Regions from separate parts of the Mus musculus genome. Here regions 1 and 3 are each reported to be linked to region 2. Evidence: microRNA targets listed by miRTarBase, many of them from high-throughput screens and not tested one by one. Region 2 holds a microRNA gene; each other region holds the end of a gene's coding sequence.
What was found. The annotated mature microRNA mmu-miR-466f-3p reads CAUACACACACACAUACACAC and lies in region 2 at 2,101-2,121, shown strand. An mRNA with a match to its seed (bases 2 to 7 or 8) in the 3' UTR can be bound and repressed. Matches are read on the target gene's strand: a 7mer-m8 pairs with bases 2 to 8, a 7mer-A1 pairs with bases 2 to 7 and ends in A, and an 8mer does both.

Region 1: miRTarBase lists Spta1 as a target of mmu-miR-466f-3p. Seed matches in the 3' UTR shown: 7mer-m8 at 2,641-2,647 and 7mer-m8 at 2,635-2,641.
Region 3: miRTarBase lists Uggt1 as a target of mmu-miR-466f-3p. Seed matches in the 3' UTR shown: 7mer-A1 at 724-730.

What each region holds. Positions count from the first base shown.
Region 1 is chr1:174,247,246-174,250,343 of GRCm38, reverse strand. It overlaps Spta1 (spectrin alpha, erythrocytic 1), which reads right to left. Exons shown (of 52, transcript NM_011465.4): 52 at 1,895-3,012. The coding sequence ends at 2,887. It overlaps Olfr419 (olfactory receptor 419), which reads left to right. Exons shown (of 1, transcript NM_146715.2): 1 at 1-455. The coding sequence ends at 360. Among named protein-coding and RNA genes, the nearest start is that of Olfr419, 2.2 kb to the left of the region's middle.
Region 2 is chr2:10,464,898-10,467,897 of GRCm38, forward strand. It overlaps Mir466f-1 (microRNA 466f-1), which reads left to right and starts at 2,047; the gene lies at 2,047-2,140. The region is part of intron 10 of Sfmbt2 (Scm-like with four mbt domains 2); the gene reads left to right. Mir466m (microRNA 466m) reads left to right here and starts at 1,766; the gene lies at 1,766-1,849. It overlaps Mir669f (microRNA 669f), which reads left to right and starts at 2,332; the gene lies at 2,332-2,452. It also overlaps Mir669e and Mir669b.
Region 3 is chr1:36,141,503-36,144,600 of GRCm38, forward strand. Uggt1 (UDP-glucose glycoprotein glucosyltransferase 1) reads right to left here. Exons shown (of 41, transcript NM_198899.2): 41 at 1-2,749. The coding sequence ends at 2,724. Mir6897 (microRNA 6897) reads right to left here and starts at 2,811; the gene lies at 2,750-2,811.

The DNA of each region.
Region 1 (3,098 bases), not on the chromosome of region 2:
AGTGAACTGGGAATCCTCATCCTTAGTCTGCTGGTCCTCTTGGTCTCGTTCTTCTTAATTAGTGTCTCCTATGCCTATATTTTGGTAGCAATCCTGAGAATCCCTTCTGCCGAGGGACGGAGAAAAGCTTTTTCTACTTGTGCCTCACACCTCACAGTGGTCGTGATTCACTATGGCTGTGCCTCCTTCATGTACTTGAGACCCAAAGCCAGCTACTCTCTTGAGAGGGATCAGCTTATTGCTGTCACCTACACTGTGGCAACCCCTCTCCTCAATCCTATTGTTTATAGTCTAAGGAATCGGGCTGTGCAGACAGCTCTGAGAAATGCTTTCCGGGGGAGTTTACTTGGTAAAGGATAAAGGCTAGCCTGGAGACATTTGCATAAGCACACCCTAGACCAGGTTCAATACAATGGACTAGATATTTTACAATTTGGGCAAAACTGCTGTACCAAAACTCCACATCCCTCCTTTGCCTTTCCTCCCATGATGCCTGGAAGGATAAAACAGGAGTTCTTGCTCTGTTTACTGTGTTCAACCCACAGTGAGCTCCAAATCTTAAATATTCACCTTCAGTCTCATAGATGCCACTCCCAATTATCAAAACAAATCGAGAAACAAGAATTTTCTTAATCATGACTGTTTTCCCAGCTGAGCTAAACAAGATGAAAGAATTTCAAGGCTACGATGCCAAGATCCAGGAGCATTGTAGAGAATTTTAAAGTGATTATACAATGAGACTATTTGATCAATAATGTTCTTCCAAGGCCTGAAACTCGGGATGTAGTCTGGAAGATGCTGGGTAGGCAGAAGCCCTCTTGCTGCTTTTGCTCCTCACCCCTCACTGCATCTCTTATCTTTCTGAGTTTGTTGTAGAGCTATTTACTTTGCCTGTTCCTTCCACCTACAGTGTTTCATACATGCCTCGGGTTGTTGTTAGGGAGAATTAAAAATGACTTCCTCAGTAGCCTGGCAGGAATGTGAACACAAGCTCTTCAACTAACTAGCTGTGTTAAGCTGGGTAAGTTACTTGCCTGTTTTCAGCTTCAGTGCCCTCATTTGTAAAATAGTTATCATTACATACTTTTGTATATGACTAAAGGTTTCATACATATATAAAGAATTTATCAATATACTCGAGTCATAGTCATATTTTAATGAATGCCACTTGCTACTTGTAACAATGTTGTGATGCTGGCTTTTAGTCCGTGGATCTGAGACAGCTTCCTGACTAAGTTTGTGTGTGTTCTTATTCCTAAAGAATGGATGAAACATGTCCTAAACTGACTGGGTCACTCAGAAAAAGATAACAGGCTGGGTAATGAGAGACTGTGGATATGTTACAGAGACAACTGAGTGGGTCAGAGAAAGTGAAAGTCATACAAATGAGAAATGTGTTAGCCTAGGGAGTTTTTGTTGTTCAAGGAAGTCATCAGTTGAATATCTCACTTCAGTATGATCCTTTTGTGAAGCAGGAGACAGGGCATAATAAATGGAGCAGAAAGATATCTGCGATTTAGAAAGATCAGCACATGAGTAGGGAGGATAGAGAGTTTCAGCAGAGACAAATAAGAATCAAGGAGACAAGGAAGGAATCCTAGCTATTACCTTAGGCTGAAGAAAAATGAAGGCTTTGAGATGCTAAGCTCCAGATCCACCAGGCTTATCAAGGAGATGGAAATATAAATGACCTGAGAAATATAAACTGATAGCCCAATTTTATTCAGCTCATACTGATTTTTGATGGTCTATTATGTCATAACCACCCAGTTGGAAAGATCTTGGTCATTTATAACTAAATTAGACACTGGTAAACATTTTGGGGGTATGTTCTGATTGTTATATTCCACTATAGTTAATGGCTTAAGGTAAATGTTATAAAAAGACTACTTGTCATTTTCAAATATCTTTATTTGTAGCCATAAGTATTTTAATTAGATCCTGTGAGAATTTTTTCCCAAAGATTGAGGAGGGGTTAATTTCTACTCAAGCGAAAAAACTGAGACTTAAGATAGTAAATAAGGAGTGATATTCATGAGCAATAGGCTATCTGTACGAAAGGCTAAATTTCACAAAAGGCAACAAAGTTACCTAAGAAACATACCTGTACTGAAAACACCTAGATATAGTACCACCATAGCTTCTTGGTTTTTTCCTTAAATTATGAACATTTTACTGGCTTCTGAGAAGATAGAAATGAATAAAACATCAGTTGTATCATATTAAAATGTAAGAGAGTATTCAGAGATTTAGGGAACATGAGAGGACCCTGACATGCCAAAGTCATTCACTTTAATGGTGAAATATCAAAACAGGACAAGAAGAAAACAAGCATTTTATGTTATCTTTTTCTGACTCTACTTCATAGAATAAGACAAAATTACAAACATTTCAAATTGTAAGGATTTCATCTCTCTTAAAAGCTACTAACAAACTGTGAATCACCTTGTATTTTATTTATCTAATTTATTATTGTCCTTTTCCACAGTATAATTAATTGCATATTATATTTAGTAATAATATGGTTCCAAAAATACAAAAGCATAATTTTACCTAAATTTCCCTTTAAAAAAGAAATATTTCTGCTATAATCAGAATGCAGTAAAATCTTAAAGGTGTGCAGCACACACACACATACACATACACACACACACACACACACATTAAAATCTTGGCACCCTAGGTAGAGACTAGTTACATAATCCTATAGATTTTTCTTAGCCCCCGCTATATACTTGATTATTTTTTTAAAAATCCCACAATAAATGTAACACACACACACACAGAGCAGCAGGATCTTTTTTTCTTTCACGCTTGCTTGTGCCTCTTATCCCCCATTACTTGCTGCCACACTATGATTTTCTATGATGCATAAGAATCTGCATATCAATTGCCAAAGAATGAATTGGTGAAGCCAACATAGTCGTAGCCAGCAGGTTGGCTCCGACCCCGTGGATCCATATATTGCTGCATATGTATGGTACAGAATGACACTTGTTCCGGGGTGAGAGCCTGGAAAGAATGAAAGGAGAAAGACAGAGTTACAGAAACCCAACACTTGTTCTCACAGATGGAGAGCCATCAGAAGAAGCAGCTTT
Region 2 (3,000 bases):
TCACACACAGAAACACACACAGACACACACACACACAAACACAGGAATGTTACTCATTGATCCATTTGAATGATAAGTGACTTAGAGTTTTAGAGATGCTGCAGTCCTGGGTCAGTGAGTGATTTCAGTCACCCCATGGAAATGTTTGCCAGAGTTATGAGGATCAAATCCATGCTTAACTTCATGAAGAGTTAGAGATCAGCCTGGATTCATGTGATGCGCTCTATGTATGTGCATGTGTGTTTATGTGTGTGTGTATGTGTGTATATGAATATATGTATACACACATATGCACACACACAACACACACACACACACACACATGAATGTTACTCATTGATCCATTTGAATGATAAGTGACTTAGAGTTTTAGAGATGCTGCAGTACTGGGCCACCAAGGATATGCATGTGTGTATAGTTGTGTGCATATTCATTTTTCTATATGAATATGCATATACACGCATGCACACACACTCACAGGAATGGCCAGAGCTATGTCTCAGGTAGGAGGTGAATATTCTTGCCAGTGTCAGGAGGCTACAGAGTTCAAATTCATGCTTAACTTCATGAAGAGTTAGAGATCAGCATGAGATTCATGTGATGCCCACCAAGAAAGTGCATGTGTGCATAGTTGTGTGCATATTCACTTCTCTATGTGAATATGCATATGCACGCATGCACACACGAATGGCACTCATATATCCTTTTGAATGATATGTGACTCAGAGCTTTAGAGCTTATGCAGTACCAGGTCAGAGCTATGTCTCAGTTAGGAGGTGAAATCCCTTGCCAGAGTCAGGAGGTCCTGGAGTTCAAATTCATGTTTAACTTCATGATGAGTTAGAGATCAGCATGCGATTCATGTGATGCCCACCAAAAATGTGCATGTGTGTATAGTTGTGTGCATATTCATTTCTCTATATGAATATGCATATACACACATGTACACACATGTACACACCCACACCCACCCACCCACACACACCACTTAGAGTAATGGCATCATATATCCTTTTGAATAATATGTGACTCAGAGCTTTAGAGCTTATGCAGTACTGGGCCAGTGTGTTGTTTCACTCGTTAGCTGAATACTTTTGCCACAGTCAGTATGTTTCAGAGTTCAAATTCATGGTTAAATTCATGATGAGTTAGAGATCAGCCTGGGATTCATGTCATGCCCCCCATGTATGTGCATGTGTTTATACTTGTGTGTGCATGTACATGTGTGCATATCAATATATGTACACATACACATACAGACGCACACACATACATGCAGGAATGTCACTTGTCAATCCATTTGAATGATATGTGACGTAGAGCTTTGGAGATTATGTAGTATTGAGTGAGGGTGAGGCTTCAAATACCAGGCTAAAATCCTTGCCAGAGTCAGGAGGATCAGGAGTTGAAATTCATGCTTAACTTCATCAAGAGTTAGGGATCAGCCTGTATCATGTGATGCAGCTTATGTATATACGTGTGTGTTCATGTGCATGTGTGTATAATATAAATATAAATATACATACACACTAACATAGACATGCACGCGTGGAAAAACACACATGAATGGCACTTATCAATCCATTTGTATGATATGTAAATTAGATCTTTCAATACTATGTAATACTGGGCCAGTGAGACATCTCACTCACTAAGTAAAAACGCTTGCCAGAGTCAGGAGAATAAAGAGTTCAAATTCATAATTAACTTCATGAAGATTTAGAAATCATCCTGGGATTTATGTGATGGCCCCTATGTATGTGCCTGTGTGTGTTCTTGTGTGTGCATGTGCATGTGTGTATATGAATATACATATACATACACACATACACACGCACGTACACACACACAAACACACACATACAGGAATGGCACTTATCAATCCATTTGAATGGTATGTGACTTAGAGTTTTAGAGATTATGCAATAGGGGACAGTGAATGTTCTCACTCACCAGGTGTAAACGATTGACAGAGTCAGGAGGATCAGAAGTTCAAATTCATGCTTACCTTCAGTTAGAGATCATCCTGGTATTCATATGTATGTGCATGTGTGTTTACGTGTGTGTGCATGTGCATGTGTGTATATGAATATACATACACATACACACACACATACACACACATGCAACACACACATATGAATGACACTCACTGATCACTTTTAATGATATGTGACTTATAGTTTTAGAGATTATACAGTACTGGGCCAGTGAATGGTCTCACTCAGAAGGTGAAAATGCTTGCCAGAATCAGGAGAATCAGGAATTCAAATTCATGCTCAACTTCCTGAGAATTTAGAGATTAGTCTGTGATTCATGTGATGCCCCCCATGTATGTGCCTGTGTGTATAGTTGTGTGTGCATGTGCATGTGTGTATATGAATATACATATACATACACACACACGTATAAACGCAAGCACAAACACACACAGAGGAATGGCACTCGTTGATCCATTTGAATGATATGTGACTTAGAGCTTTAGAGATTATGTAGTATTGGGCCACTGAAACTTTTCATTCACCAGGGAAGGCTTGCCAGAGCATCAGTATCCAGAGTTCAAAATCATGCTTAACTTCATAATGAGTTAAAGATCAGCCTGGGATTCATGGGCTGTACCCTATATATGGGCAGGTGTGTGTCTTGTGTGTGCATGTTCATTTGTGTATATGAATATGAATATACACACACTTACACACTCATGCACACACACACACATCCATTTGAATGATATGTGTCTTAGAGCTTGAGAGTTTAGGCAGGACAGTGCCAGGGAGAGATCTCACTCACCAGGTAACAATGTTTGCCATACTCAGGAGGATTAGGAGATGAAATTCATGCTTAATTTCATGATGAGTTAGACATCAGCCTAGAATTCATGGGATGTCCCCCATGAATGTATGTGCATGTGTATATAGTTTTGTGTGCATGTGCATGTGTGTCTATTAATGTACATATACATACACACAAACATATACACGCATGCGCAGATACAGACAC
Region 3 (3,098 bases), not on the chromosome of region 2:
TCAGAAAGGAAACACTCTACTGCTATATGACAGGAGGTCAAAGAACCATTTATTCGCAGGCCAAGAATGGCGGTGAGCTCTCCAGGAGCCTCAATAACCTGTCTGCTCAGTCACTTCCTGCTTCTTGGAGAATAGCTCATCTCTCTTTTCAGTCACAACATGCTTTTTCGTAGTGAGAATGTCAGGTGAAATCTGACAGGGACACCCTTCCAGGGCCACTTGCCGGCAGCAGCCCATTTGTGGCAGTGGCTTAGTTTGTAGAGATGATTTAATCCACAGGATGCAAGGAAGGACCAGGAAAGGGGGGGCCTGGACAGCTTTAGAAGGGTTTAGTTTAGGGTCTGGCCTAGCCAGCATCAGCTCTGAATATGACTTATGTCAGTGTAGTGACCCACGAGGGACTAAAGGGCCATAGGAGACCCATGCCTTCCTCTTCCTCAGAGGAGGCACACATAATTTGGTAAGAGAAGGACCCTGGCCACCGGGCCAGCATCTCAGAGCACTGACTATTCCTGCTCAACACTCCAGGCTCCCAGGGCACTGGGAAGACAGCTTCCGCTCACAGTCGGGCGCAGCAGCCCTGAGAGCTTAATCCAGGGTGGACATGAAGCCTGAACAAAGGCTGGCTCTTAAGCTAACTTTTAGATTTGAAAATGGGGGGGGGGGAGATATTACTTGATATATGTGTGGTAATTTTTTTATTTTTTGAAATTCATGTTGTAATATACACTGTATCAATAAATGTCAAGGGCTAGTTAAGCTAAGAAGCTATGGAACATGTTTGTCTCAAACGTATCCTCCATGGCCCTTTGTCTGGGGATGTGTGCCCCTTCCCTGACTTTATGACAAATGACAAAACACTTTGATAATCCAAGAGTCAAAATACATCGCTTGAAACAGCTGGGAAGTAATTTATTCCCAGACACCTTTCCAAGGTCAGAGGGCTCGCTACAGCCTGTCCTTGCTACCCAAGCGCCTGCAGAGGGAGAGGGAGAAAACCCTGCTGACCGACCGATGGTAGCAGCCCCCCAGCTCGTTTCTGGGGTGTCGTGAGCACCGAACTAAATGATGTTGTTTTTAGTGCTGCTCTTTGTTCTCTTATGTGGATTCCTGACCTGAGGGGACACTTGTGCTCTGCCCAGGACTCTCAGTGGGAGCTCCAGCTGACGAGGTAAGGGGGTTAATGCTGGTTCTCTGAATTCCCAATCCAGTTTTCTGTCTCTACTTATTACTTAACAATTGCCCACTCAAATCCCTAACCACGGCTCCTGTAGGCCATTCTTCCATGGTAACACACATATTACCTAGCTTGGACAGGCAAGAACTTAGTTACCCACAGTACTCATTCCTCATATTCAGTCTTTTTTTTTGGGGGGGGGGGGCTGGGGAGATACAGTACCAGACAGAAGGCCTTGGGCTTGCTAGACAAGCACTCTGTCTGCCACTGAGCCACACCCTGTGCCCAGCAACACTAACTCTCTGCTGTAGATCCCTGAGTCCTGGGCAGAGATGACACCACACACCCACACCTGTCCAGCCAGGTTAACAACACGTGGAAGGCTCCTCAGCCCAGGCTGCTCCCGAGGTGATGCTGGGCTGTGGCTGTGAACACAAAGCAGTGAAGGGTGCTGCTTCAGACAGCAGCAGTACCTTAGAACTGGACCAGACCTCGGCAAGTCTCGAAAGCCAAAGGGGACCCTCAGAGCCAAAGCACAAGGGAAAGACAGAGTGTAGGAAACCGAGTTCCAGAGACAGAGTCATTCCTGGTCACAGGTCTGAGAGCATTTGGGGGAAGAAACACCCAAAGTTATCCCCTGGGTCTGAGAGAAAACTCTACAAGGGAAAGGGCAGACAGTATGGTGCATCCAGACGGAGGCTGAGCACGCTGAGAGCGGTCACTGAGGGACTCAGGACGCCTGTGCCCAGCCAGGAAACTGATAACCAACAGCTTTTTAGAAAGTAAGAAGAAAAAGCACACATTTTCATAAATAGAAAAATTGTTTACAAAACAATTACCTGGACAGTTCACTGGGTACTAGACTGAAGAGAACGGCCCATGTTTTTGTCTTCCATCGAACACCCCAACACTCTCCACTACCTGCCATTTCTTCCAGCCTTATCCACACCACCCCGTTTCTCCTGAAGACTGATTTGCTTAGCAACTGCACTGAGCCAACCCTGAAGACACATGATTATTGGTTGGGCTCCATTAAACAACAAGCCTAGTGCTTGGGAAGGGGGGTGGGGAGGGGAAGAGACGTGAGAAGCATGTTGGCGTAGACCTTGAGGCATGGATGAAGCATCTGCCGGCCTGACCTGGTACAGGGTGGGCATCTGCACTGCAGCAAGGGCTGCAGGTAAACTGAGGTAAGGAAGAACATGGTGACCTTTCTGCCCAGCTTCTGGGCCAGCACAGCAGTGTGTGCTCTGGGCTGTGGGCACCGAAGGACTGGGCTTCTTGCAGTTGCTGCCGGCATTTCTCCCTCTGGTGAGAAGAAGAGTCCCAGAAGACCAGCCACTTGTCTTCCTCTGAGGTACAAATCCAACAGAGCCTTAGCCCCAAGGATCTAGCACCCACTAGGGTGCAGTAGTCTAAATCAATGCTCAGATCAATAGGTGTGGTACACCTGCCCAATCCGTTCATCAGCAGTCGTATCGAAAGATCAGAGAAAACAGCAGTTAGTCCAAACTGTCAAGGTGGGTTTCCCATCTTCCTCCAGAGATCATAATTCCTCATGCTTCTGAGAGCCTGGGGGAAGAACACAGACCGTGAGACTTACGTCATAAAACAGCGTGTGACACTGCCCCCAGCACAGCACTGTAGCTTCAGATGGTCTGTAGAAGCTTGGTGTTGGCTATTTCTGTATTAAGGGTTGAAAGCGAACCTAAGAGAAGAAGACATTTTTAGCTCTAAGAACTGACACGCCCTTGGGCTATACACGGCCTCCACCAGGGCAGCGCTGGCTCTCGGGGTCTCCAGCAGGGCAGAGCTGGCTCTGGGCCACACACTGCTGTGTGCAGAAATCTTCTGCACTTACACATTCTTTCTGTGAGCCAGGGCAGCTGTTCTTTGATCCTTAAACTGTTTTAAGGTTGCT